Elephas maximus indicus: one gene and its partners. The protein of the gene in region 1 binds, or shares a complex with, the protein of each later gene. Links are inferred from orthologs where the notes say so. Each region holds a gene or a part of one and is shown in the gene's direction. Other genes may lie near its edges. The genes, in order: CALCRL, RAMP2 and ADM2.

The links.
Region 2: the proteins of CALCRL (region 1) and RAMP2 are in contact, whole or in part, in a crystal structure (PDB 3AQF), measured with the Homo sapiens proteins. The link is inferred for Elephas maximus indicus from reciprocal best matches to the Homo sapiens genes CALCRL and RAMP2. Residues at the interface, in NP_001258680.1 of Homo sapiens: Arg38, Asn39, Ile41, Met42, Thr43, Gln45, Tyr46, Glu47, Tyr49, Gln50, Lys51, Ile52, Met53, Gln54, Trp69, Asp70, Gly71, Arg119; in NP_005845.2 of Homo sapiens: Trp86, Ile89, Tyr93, Ser94, Arg97, Leu109, Gly110, Pro112, Glu117, Ile120, Phe121, His124, Gln125, Phe128, Ala129, Cys131, Ser132, Leu133, Val134.
Region 3: the proteins of CALCRL (region 1) and ADM2 are in contact, whole or in part, in a cryo-EM structure (PDB 6UVA), measured with the Homo sapiens proteins. The link is inferred for Elephas maximus indicus from reciprocal best matches to the Homo sapiens genes CALCRL and ADM2. Residues at the interface, in NP_001258680.1 of Homo sapiens: Val36, Thr37, Lys40, Asp70, Gly71, Trp72, Asp90, Tyr91, Phe92, Gln93, Asp94, Phe95, Asp96, Pro97, Ser98, His114, Ala116, Ser117, Thr120, Trp121, Thr122, Tyr124, Thr125, Asn128, Thr131, Lys134, Val135, Ala138, Leu139, Leu141; in NP_001240774.1 of Homo sapiens: Leu106, Arg107, Val108, Gly109, Cys110, Val111, Leu112, Gly113, Thr114, Cys115, Gln116, Val117, Gln118, Asn119, Leu120, Ser121, His122, Arg123, Leu124, Trp125, Gln126, Leu127, Met128, Gly129, Pro130, Ala131, Gly132, Arg133, Gln134, Asp135.

What each region holds. Positions count from the first base shown.
Region 1 is NC_064824.1:85,684,825-85,688,569, reverse strand, and holds the start of CALCRL (calcitonin gene-related peptide type 1 receptor), read left to right. Parts: upstream 1-1,306; 5' UTR 1,307-1,704; intron 1,705-3,745. UniProt on the Homo sapiens protein: G protein-coupled receptor which specificity is determined by its interaction with receptor-activity-modifying proteins (RAMPs). Together with RAMP1, form the receptor complex for calcitonin-gene-related peptides CALCA/CGRP1 and CALCB/CGRP2.
Region 2 is NC_064837.1:49,607,962-49,611,706, forward strand, and holds RAMP2 (receptor activity-modifying protein 2), read left to right. Parts: upstream 1-1,380; 5' UTR 1,381-1,477; coding exon 1,478-1,577; intron 1,578-2,032; coding exon 2,033-2,098; intron 2,099-2,224; coding exon 2,225-2,293; intron 2,294-2,505; coding exon 2,506-2,614; intron 2,615-2,754; coding exon 2,755-3,010; 3' UTR 3,011-3,261; downstream 3,262-3,745. UniProt on the Homo sapiens protein: Accessory protein that interacts with and modulates the function of G-protein coupled receptors including calcitonin gene-related peptide type 1 receptor (CALCRL) and calcitonin receptor (CALCR). Required for the transport of CALCRL to the plasma membrane.
Region 3 is NC_064822.1:196,826,243-196,829,987, forward strand, and holds the start of ADM2 (protein ADM2), read left to right. Parts: upstream 1-1,017; 5' UTR 1,018-1,475; coding exon 1,476-1,585; intron 1,586-2,161; coding exon 2,162-2,495; 3' UTR 2,496-3,745. UniProt on the Homo sapiens protein: Intermedin/ADM2 is a peptide hormone that plays a role as physiological regulator of gastrointestinal and cardiovascular bioactivities mediated by the CALCRL-RAMPs receptor complexes.

The sequences.
Region 1 (3,745 bases):
TTTTTTACATATATTGTATTTTTTTTTTTCTTTTTTACTGACCTTGGTCACATTACTCCTAAAATCAAAGACTGTGTAATAATTTTCTTCCATGGATCCAGGCAATAAACACGAAAAGCAGCAGGAGCATGAACTTTAGAAACAAGCTATCCCTTCAGTGTATGCTCCTTTGTTAGTCTACAAGAGGTATTGGCACCTCTTTTTTCCTCCTAAAAAAAAAAAAAAAAACACTATTTCTCAGTGTTTGTGATCTCAGATTCACTAAGAACTGAATGATCATCACCAAGTCTTATTTATTTCCAAATTTATAAAACTGATTAATTCATAGTCTTAGTGACATTAGGGAGTTTATATATTATTTGATCTAGTGCTTCTATTTTACAGCTGAGAAAATTCAAGTCTGGGGAAATTAAGTGACCTTTGGTGCTGTGTAGGCTTCAGGAATCATAATGTAATTATCATTCCATCTTACACATTTACCATATCACCAAAAATGATAAATGTATTTCATATTTACAATGTTCTTCCCTGGTCCTTTTCAATGATTTATTAAAAACATTCAGGATGTGTTTTTGACATAAAGATGATCTTTTTGAGGTAAATTTTTTCAAAAAAATTAAAGTATGTTCCATATTTTACATTTTATATATATATGTAAATCTACATTTTCTTCAAGCCTACTTTGAGGTACAAATCTTATAAATTATTTTATCTTATAAGTGGTAACAAATATAAGTCAAATATTAAAAATACATGTAATTATTTAAAATTATTCACATACTCTTAAAAGGTTCTATATACACTTAAACATACAGTCTGAAAAAATATTATTGCACACACAAACACACGCAGGCTTTGTTTAAGACACATGCATAGACATATGCTTATAAACAACACAGAAGAACAAACAAAAGAAAACTACAGGGAAAGGTTTCTTGGTCTAATTGTGGAAAACTGACTGGAAGCAGCATCTGATTATCAGCAGTTCTAACTTAACAAGAATTGGATCACAGAATTAATTGTGATGAATGCTATTATTATTTTTCCATGGTCATTTATGAAGAAACACATTAGATGATTTTTTTTCCCCCTGGATGCTTTGTAAACTATAATCCAAAACACACACACACAGGTACACAGACACACACTCCTAACTCTTTTGATTTGTTGAGCAGAGTATTACATTCTGACTTCCTTCAAATCATAGCAAGCTCTGGTTGGCAAATTCTAACAGAACTCAGTCAAGGTGAAAGCCAGCCAGCCTTTGCTGGCAACAATGTATTCATGCAGCATATGATGTCTTTCTGTTCAGGCTGCTTCTTGCTCTTGTCTCAGAATAAGAGAGGAGCGCTGCTTTCCTAGGGTGTGCTATTTGAGAAAGAAAGTAACCTAACACTAACTGCAGGCGGGGTCGGAGTGATGTAACAGGAAGCTCTGATGTTTCCCTTCTACTGCTGATCTCTTACAATCTGACAACAGTTCCAATCTACTGAGAACAAACCCTCTCTCCCCAGCACAGTGTCACCTCCTGCTTTAGGATCACCAAGCTCTGCTAACTGGATCTCACTCTGCCTGCAGGATCACATTGCAAGGCTTTTACTCTTCCCCACCTTGTCTGGGGGGGAATCTCTTCCACGGAATCTCAGAAAATCAAATTCCATCCTAAGAAAATTTCACCAAGAATTCCTTTAGGAGCTGTGCTGGGTAAGTGCATTATTCAATTTGGGTATATTTATTTCAGGGAGCATTCTCATGTAGATTAACAATGTTTCTGCTATTCAATTTACTTAGTAACATTGCATTAGTGACATAGTGTTGAAACGTATTCTCATTTATTTCACATGTCAGGGGACTGTACAGTGTATTAGCTCAAAATGCACATTAAATCTATTAGTACTAAAAAAAAAGTTACTACTAGATACCGTTATTCACAATGGTAGTCTAGAAAATAGATTTCAGAAGTAATAAAAATCGAAATGGATTAAAGCGCATACTTCTGAGCAAATATCTTAATCAGGGAACAATGTTTTTTTTGTTTTTTGGTTTTTTTTTTAGCCTTATTATTAAAGTTTATTAAAGCTAAGCTTTAATCTTAACACCTGGGAAGCCTTGTAGTAGGTCCGCCCGACACCAGGGAAGGCTCTTTAAACTTTCCACAGAATCGCTATTCTAAAAAAGGGATGAAAGAATATCTACTTTTTGAGTCTCAGAGTCTCACTCTGTGGTTGAACACAATAGTTAGAAGGAAAGTAATAGCTTTGGATTCATTATTTTTGCCTTCTATTTGTCTTTCACCTCTATATACACATACATCTCTATTGAACTAATGGAATTTTCATTATTCATTGTTGCCAGATGAGTTTAAAACTCTCTTTTGATAACCCTGAACTGTTTTCACTATGTTGAATGATGGAGTGAACTTCAAAGAAAAACTTACAGCTAGGGTTGAGAAAACGTAGAGATTGTTATATTAATTCTTAATTTCAAAACTTTAGCTAATAGCATATGTTAGTTTAACTTGTCTAGAATCCCTCTGCCAGCTTTCGGGGGAGGGTGTGATAGATATCTGTGGCCAGAGAAACATAACAGGGGTTCCTGAAGAAGTATATCGGATCATTAAGCTGGAAACTAAAGTATGTATTTAAAAAAGAGGAAGAATTTCCAGGATATAACTTACTGAAATGTTGAGATGAAACATCTGCTAACGATCCTTCCAACAGTACAGACTGTCCTAGACAATTTAAGAAAGTTGTGTCTATTTAATAAACTGTGGATATAAAGATCACAGATTTCTTGCTAAGGAAATTCAATGTCAGATTTGGATTCAAATTATGTTGATTGACACAATGTCTAAATAATATATTTTCTTACCTAAGTGAAATTATATGAACTGTGCAGGACTTCCTTCAATGGGAGCATCCTGTACTTAGTCACCCATAATCTGGCATATTAATAGTTGTCTGGTTACTCATCCTGAATAACTCCTTGGTAATTCTCTACTGGGGATTCAATATAATGGAAACTTAAAATAATACTTAGATTTGTGACTCTTTAAAAATATTGTATTCGATATCCTATCCCCTTGCAAGCTTTAATTATACTGAGTTCCCTGACACATTTGTGGAAATAGGAAAAGGACTATAAAATGTGACTTTGTAAATAGCCATTAGATAATTGGGAGAGGAAATGGAAAGAACATATTTAGACACTTAACCCAATGTCATGGAATAGAATAAAAATAATTTTATTTTTAATTTAGATTCATTTTGTTAGAAAGATATATCAAGTTAATATATTTTTATAATGAAGAACCCCCCAGATTTATCAAATTTTTATTTAATTGCTAGCCAAAAACCCCATAATTTTCTTGCATAATTTAATTAGCTATTCATAACTATACCAATAGTATGGCTTATAATCTTGATTTTCAACTAATACTGTTGAAAAATACTAGGCAATGAACTCTGAGGGTGATTAGGCAAAAGTCCATTATTTGAGTAAATCACTAGAAGTTTAAATTAAAATTTTATATTATTATATTCTAAAATTAGGTTCATTTAATAATAGAATGTCAGAGTGCCTATGAATGCTTTCAGTCATTAAGAAATAAATTTACTTTCTAGATGATATTTCCATGTAGCATCATAAAACAAATGCATTGAGTCAGCGGCCAGTTCTAAATATGAAAACCAAAACATAGAATTGAAAAATTACACAAATAAGGTGAGCTGAAATATGTTTTACC
Region 2 (3,745 bases), on another chromosome or scaffold:
TTGGGGTTAATGCTAAGTGGACCACATTCTCACTCTTTCTGGATGCCTTACTAAAGCATCCTCTTGACCTCAGCTATGGAGGAAGACAACAGGTTTTCAGCAGCCACATTTCAAGAGCCTGAGACCCTGAGACGAAGATTTTAAGACAGAGAGATGAAGAAAGATAATTTGTGGTGAGGAGGAATCAGCAAACTGCGACAACAGCAGCAGCTGAGTCCAAGGGTGAGTGTCTGGAAGTAATTTAGTAAAGTTGGGTGCTGACAGCTGTGTCTGGGAATTGAACACCATGGCCATCCCAGCTCCTGGGCTCCTCTGATGCTCCAGGCTAATGAAGCCCCGGCCCAGGACACAAAGGCAGCTGTGGTGTAGCAGAAGTCAGGCCCACTGGGGCCCCAAGCCCCAAGCTCAACTTTGCTGCTTACTAGTAGTGTGACTTTAGGCAAATCACTTAGAAAAGGAAATTAGCATCTGTTGAGTGAGTGCAATACCCTTTCACATATTTCATCCTCATCAAAGTTTGGTGGGGAGGGTAATGTCCCTGTTTTACATTAAAGGAAACTGAGGATCCAAAGATAAATGAATCATCAAGGTAATAGAGCTGGGGAGTGGGTAGGTAGGTAGGATTAGGACCCAGAGCTTCTGACCTCAAGTTCTGTGCTCCTTCCCTGAGTTTCAGTTTCTCATAAATGAGGTCTAAACCCCTCCCCCCTTTCTTTCTCACAACCTTGGTCTTGCAGAGTTGCGACCACCTTTTTGCTGGAAATGTAGGACTCTTACTTTTGCCCCTCCCACCCCCCCAACCCAGTTTGTGATCTAGGTCCCAGGAGATGCCCTGAGGGGAGGGTATTTGGACTTCGGTTTCCCCTCTCCCCCTATTCCCAGGCCTTCTCACTATTCGGGAGGGCCGGCTCCCTCTTCTACCCAGCGTTAGCAGGCGGGCTGACATCAGTGGGTGTTCCCAGGGCAAAGCCACTCTTGAGCTCCAGGCGCCCCTTCCCCCACGGCCCATGCGACGTCGAGAGGCCCTCCGAGCTCCCAGCCCCCTTTCCTCTTCTTCAGGTCCTGGAGGGCAGCTTGCGCCCCCCTACCTCCTCGCCCCAAAAGAAAGAGGGCGATTAGAGTCAGGGGAGCGGATGCTGGGAAACCCTGGCGAGCCCAAGTCTCCAAGCGGAAGAGTCCAGGAAAAGGGTCCGCGTTCTGAAGTTACGCGTGGAGCTGTCCAGCCCTGCGGCGTAACTAGAAGAAAGGGGGGCGACGCCGGCAAGGCGGAGGGAGCTCGGGCGCCAGGGGCGGGGTGCCGCAACGACTCCCCCTCCAGCCCGCGGCCCCGGGCCTCGCCACCGCCCCCCACGTGGCCGCGGCCGTCCCAGCCCCTCCGAGGAAGCGGCGCGGCTTCCTGCGGCTCGGGCCGGGGATATAGGCGCCCCCGCCCGGGCCGGTCCAGCGCCGCTGCCGCTCCTCGCCTTCTCGTCGCGCCATGGTCTCGCTTCGAACGGAGAGCTCCGCCGGCCGCCCGCGGCTCCCAGCGACCCGCGCCGGGCGGCCGGCCGCGCTCCGCCTCCTCCTCCTGCTGGGCGGTGAGCGCGCGCCCCGGGCCCAGGCGGGAGGCCCCGGAGAGTGGGGGGCTGGACGGCCGAGTCCGGAAGGGGCCCCGGGGGCGGGGACAGACAGACAGACCGGCAAGCGCTGTCCTTCGAACAGTCCGTGGGCCCACCTCCGCGCGGGCACAGCGCGGGATGCTTCCCACTTGGAGAAAGCTGGGGTTCCGGGGCCCCCGCGGAGAAGTCTCAAGGGAGGTTTGGGGTTGGCAAGGAGGGAGTGGGCTTTGGCAGCCTGGATGTGAGTGGGAAGGAGCTGGTACCGGCCTCTTCTCTCCTGGGCACCGAGGCATTCATTAGGAGCCCGGATTAGCCTTCTTTGTCTTCTGAGAGTAGCCCTGAGTTCCCAGGGGCTCAGTCTCTAACCCCTCCCCTCCAGGCTCCACTGCCCAGATCCCCGCCATCCCACCTCCCTCTCCCATTTCTGCCCACAGCTGTCTTGAAGCCCCAGGAGTCCCTGGCACAGCCTGTAACCACCCCAGGCAGCTTGGGGTCAGAAGGTGGGTGCCCAGATGCTGTGGGAGGGTGGCCTAGAGCAAGGAGGAGAATCAGAAGGATCTCTTTCCTGCAAGGCAGGCCCCAACCCCAATTGGTGCCCCACTAAACTCCCTTCTGTTCTCTTGGAGTTTCCTGTGGTCTTTCTCCCTCTCATCGCACAAAGCCCCTGCCGAGCTCTGAGCTGGCCCACCTCACAGGTGGGTGAGAAGACCCCATGAAAATGTGTATGGGGAAGCTCTTGTCAGGTGGGAAGTGCTGCACATGTGGAAGGCATTAAATGATTCCTGAGCCTAAACTGCCTCCTCAGCCAGAAGTGTCTTGCTTGGGAAACTTTCCAAGGCTGTCCTGAGCAGAGTTGGGGGGGGGAGGGGGTAAGGGTGTGGTAAATATGCAGCATCTGTGTCCACAGGGAAGATGGTGCAGAAGTATGAGACATATGTCCAAAACTGCTGGCTAGAGTATAAGAAGCTTATGGACCCTCTCGAAAAGGATTGGTGTGACTGGGCCATGATTAGAAGGTAGGGGCAGTGCTGGAGGGTGTCTTGGCCCAGGGTGGGCCTGCTCCCTGGTCTGGTTCTTCAGATGGGCCTGGGGTGAGTGTGGGGCACACCTCTCTGTGGGTCCAATCCTTCCTCACTGGAGTTCTCTCTCATCCCAGTCCTTATAGCTTACTTCGTTACTGCTTGGAGCACTATGCCGAGGAGTCTGGCCTGGGCTTCCCCAACCCCTGGGCAGAGAGGGCCATCTTTAAGACTCACCAGATGCACTTTGCCAACTGCTCCCTGCTTAAGCCCACCTTCTGCGACCCCCCAGAGGATGTGCTCCTGGCCATGATCATAGCACCCATCTGCCTCATCCCCTTCCTTGTCACCCTTGTGGTGTGGCAGAGTAAAGACAATGAGGCCCAGGCCTAGGGTCCACAAGCTTCTCAGTGGCTATATTACTCCTCTCCCCTGCCCCCACAGCCCCACCTCAGACCTTAATGCCTTTCCCCCTTTCTTCCCCTCTCTACCCCCTTCTCTCACTCTCACCCCAACCGCAGGTCCTGGAATTGGTGAAAATGGAAGCTGGGTGGGGTCAAGGCACAAACTCTGTAATGCGGTCTTCAAAATAAACCTTTTTTGTGTGTGCACTGTCCCCTTCCCCATCCCAGTGTAGCCTGCATCCTTCCCAGAGTCCCTGCCTCTCCCACAGGCCCTCAGCTTTTGTCAACAGAACTGGAAGAATCTGGATGATCCCACTGCTTTTTTTCACCTGCTCCCCCCACTGGCCCCTCCCACCTGAAGGCCACACCCCTACACTCCTTCCTCCCAGGGTTGGGCCCTTCCTGCCCCTATCCAAACCCAGCTCCAGGAAACGTGCAGGAAGAGACTCCCTTCCGGTCTGGACAGCAGCTGGGGGGCCTGCGATTGGGAAGGTATGGGGGGAGGGCAGAATCTCTGCTCTGACTCCTGCAAGAAGGAAGGGGGGCTACCCAGGAGCTCTGACTTCTCCCCTTCTTCATGCCTCGGTTTACTCCTGAGGCCTGTAAGTAGGAATCCTGACCTGACCAACAGGAGTCCATCCATAAACACTTTAGAATTGAGGGCAGAGGCTTCTTCTCCTAGGTTCATCACAGACTCCTCTTCTAGATCCCGGCCCTCATCCTA
Region 3 (3,745 bases), on another chromosome or scaffold:
ATGCTTCTTCCTGGCTGCCAGCTCCATCCTTCTAAGGTAAATTTGATCACCTCACCCTCCCCACCCCCCACCACGAACCTAAAGAAACAGAAACACAAGATCTGCCCAGGGTTCTCCACCATTAGGGGAGGTGAACAAGCTCTTCAGTAGGGCACGTGTGCAGCCCTTGTTGATTCATTCACCCGGCAAATGTTTATTGATGCGCACCACAGGGGGGACTTGGCAGGAAACGCAGGAGGGGACCAGGGTGACCAGGTCTTCCATGAGCCTAATAGAGGGCCTTGAGGGCAAGGGTAAGACTGAAGAGGGGGTGCAGAGGAGGCAAAGAGAAGCTGAGCTAACCGAAGGGGTGTCTATTGAAGGGCAGCAAGGTCGCCACTACCTCTCAGGTTGACAAAGCAAAGAACAAGCGATGCCCATGCACTCTTGGTGGAGGGTTAGACGGTGCAGGCTTACAGAAGACACAGACTCAGCCTGCCACCCAGTGTGTCCACCTCCAGGAAGAGGACGGGCCACGTTTGTGCGCTAAGATAGCAGTCAGGGCAGACCGGACAGCAGGGGTCCAGCTCCAGAAAAGACGGGTTAGGATTCGTTAAGTGAGTCACAGCACAAGTACGTTGGAGCGGACCAGCCTACAGGAACAATGGGGGTCTCTGTATTTACACGTATTTTGTATATATGTGCCCGTGTGCAATGCACACACGAAGTCCTCTCCAAAACCAGAAGACCAGAAAGCTCTGCCCCCCCCCCCCCCCGCCCCGGCACACAGAAGAATCCACAGCGGGGGCGATGGGTGGCCATCCTCACTTTTTACTTAGTTGAATTTCTTATAAAAAAAATTTCATCCGTTGGTAATGGGGGCAAATGGGTAGATTTTTAGAACACAGCCCCTAGATGATTCTGAGGAGGGGTCCGGAAGTTGCCTCCGTAGGGAATGGAATGGCGAGCTCGGCGCCCAATTCGGGCCCCCCCCATCTCCGGAGCTCAGCCGGGCTCTGGGGGGGAGGGGGTGGGGCAAGGCTCCGGGCAGGGCTCCTGGGGAAGGAGGTGCCGCCAGGCGACACCGGAGGAGCCGGACCGTCAGCTTTTAGCCCTGAACTCCATCCCCGGAGGCGCGGGGCTGAGGAGGGGCGCCCCGCCCAGTGGACGGCCGGCTCCACCTCCTCCTGGAAAGACGATTTTTCTCTAGACGGTACCGAGGGCCGGCGGCGTCCCAGGAGAGATCCCGAACTGCGAACTGGCCGAGTGACTCCTGACCTGCAGTCCTCCGCGCCCCGGACGCACCGACCGAGTCCGGCCTTGTTCGGCGGCAGGACCCGGGGACTGCAGGACCCCAGGATCCAGCCTGCCCCGCCACCACCCGGCGCCCCGACAGCGGAGGGCTCCCCAAGTGCGGCGGAGGAGGTGGCGCGACGCCAGGGCCGGCGCCCCACGACGCCGCCCCACCCGCCCAGCTCGCCTGCTTCCCGCCTGCCATGGCGCGGCTCCTGGCAGTTACCCTAGGCTGCGTCAGCCTCCTGTACCTGCAGCTCCCTGGCGCGCTGTCCCTCGGCCTAGGGGGGCGCCCGCGCTCCGCCCGACTCAGGTGAGTGCGGCTGGGACCAACTCCAGCCCTGGCCCTGTCGTAGCAGGAAGCCAGGATGTCTGGCGAACCCCCCATCAAGGGCCAGGCCCCATGCCATCACCAACACCTGAGCCACAGGCATCTTTTGCTCCCCACCACAGGGCACTTGCCCCGACCTCCTCAACAAGGAGGGATCTGCTGGGGGAGTGCAGGAGGGAGCCCCAGGCCTGCCTAGCTCCCACCACTCCAAGGGATGGGTCCAGGAGAGTCACCCCAGGCTCTGAGTGTAGTGACCCACAGAGGCACTTTGCCTGAGGAGTCACAGGTTAATGGGGCATGTGACCTGGGGCCACTGAGATGGTTGAGCAGCCAGGTCCCAGGCCCTGAGCCCTAAAAGAGATAGTGGGCTTCCCCTGGCAGTGTCCCAGGCTGGGTGTGGGTGGGGGCTCTGGGATTCCCCTGGAGGTGGTCCAGGCATATTGGGGAAGCCATGGGCTTCCCCTGCTAGTGATCCCAGGCCTGCATGGAGGGGAAGTGGGTGGGTTTGGAATCCCTAAATGGCTGGACCATCCGGTTTGCTCCTCCCCCACCCCGCAGGGTTCCTCCCGCCCGGACTTATACCAGCAGCCTGCATCCCCGGCGCCCTGCACCCCAGCCTGTGGTCTGGAAGCCTCACCAGGCCCCTCAGCCACAGAAGGGCACTAGCCTGGCCCCTGCTGTGAGCCAACCTCTTCAGAACTACGGCCGAAGACACTCGGGCTCCCGTCACCCAGGCCCCCGCAGACCCCGAGCCCAGCTCCTGCGGGTGGGCTGTATGCTGGGGACCTGCCAGGTGCAGAACCTCAGCCACCGCCTGTGGCAGATTGTGGAGCAGGCCGGTCAGCGGGACTTGGCCCCTGTCGACCCCAGGAGCCCCCACAGCTACGGCTGAGGTGGGCCAGCCACAGCCCCCCTGCCCTGCCTAATACTGCGTCCAGAGCTGCAGACAACGGACACCCAGAAAGGGGTGCAGGCACCAGAGGAGCCTGTCCCCACACCCCAACCTCCCTCACACTTGAATGTGGTTCTGGACCTGTAAACCCATGTGTATGTGGACACCAGGCAGGCCTCACCCAGGGGACCTGCACACCCCCACATGTGCACGCCAAGGGGCAGGCGGTGCTCCCCTCCCTGTACCCGCGCAAAACAGGACTTGGGGGGAGGGGCCTTGGCAGATGGAGCAGAAGCCAGGGTCCCGAACACCCAGGGCCAGAGGAGAGGGGCTGGGTGGACTAGATGCGTCCCCTCCTTGATGGGTTCCAGCGTTGGATCGAAGCCCTTCTTGACAAGTCCTCCCAGAGGTCTCAGCTTGCTCCTTTCCCACCTCATCCCCCAGGCAGGGCTGAAGGGCAGAGGATTGGACAGCCTGGGGCATGCTGTGGTCCAGGTCGGGATGGGGGGAAGGGGCCACACAGGAGCTCTGGAACTACCCTGGCCATTCTGGGGTGAAGAGTGGAGCAGAGCCAGGGGATCCAATGCCAGCCCAGGGCTGGGCTGGGGTGAGGGGCCCCCAAAATAGATAAATAAAAGTCCCTTTCCACCTCAAAGGGGTAGAGGTGGCTGAGCAAGTATAGAACTGAGCAGGTGACACAGACCCTGGCCCTGGAGACTCAGTGGGACAGCAAGGAACATCAGGTCTTGAACAGGCTCCCTCCCCTGAGCCCTGCCAAGCCTGGGGAGACCTCAAATGATAGCAATAAGAACAATGACCGCAGCCAGCACGTGTGCAGTTCTTGGTGTGTGTCTGCCCCATGTCGTCAGAGTCCTGCGGATACCCCACACTACCCCAGAGAACCTGGGCTTCACTCACATAGCACCTCGTCCGCATAGCCCCCCGTGAGGTGGGCACTACTCTCACCCCCACTTTAGAGAGGTCAGAGACTCACCCTCTGTCTCTGTGGTCCCTGTCACTGACTAGAATTGCAGCAGAAGGTGGTCAGGGCCGTAATGGGGAGCATGGCAAGGCAATCAAGGAGGGCTGTCCAGAAGAAGAGTGGTTTAGGTGGGACTAGAGGAACAGCAGGGGTTCACCAGGGGAAAAACCCTAGAGCTCCGAGGCTCAAGCCTACAGAGCATGTGGCTGGGGTAGCCTGGCAGCCAAAAGGAGCCCAGTTGAGTAGGAGTTGGAGAGGCCCGGGACCT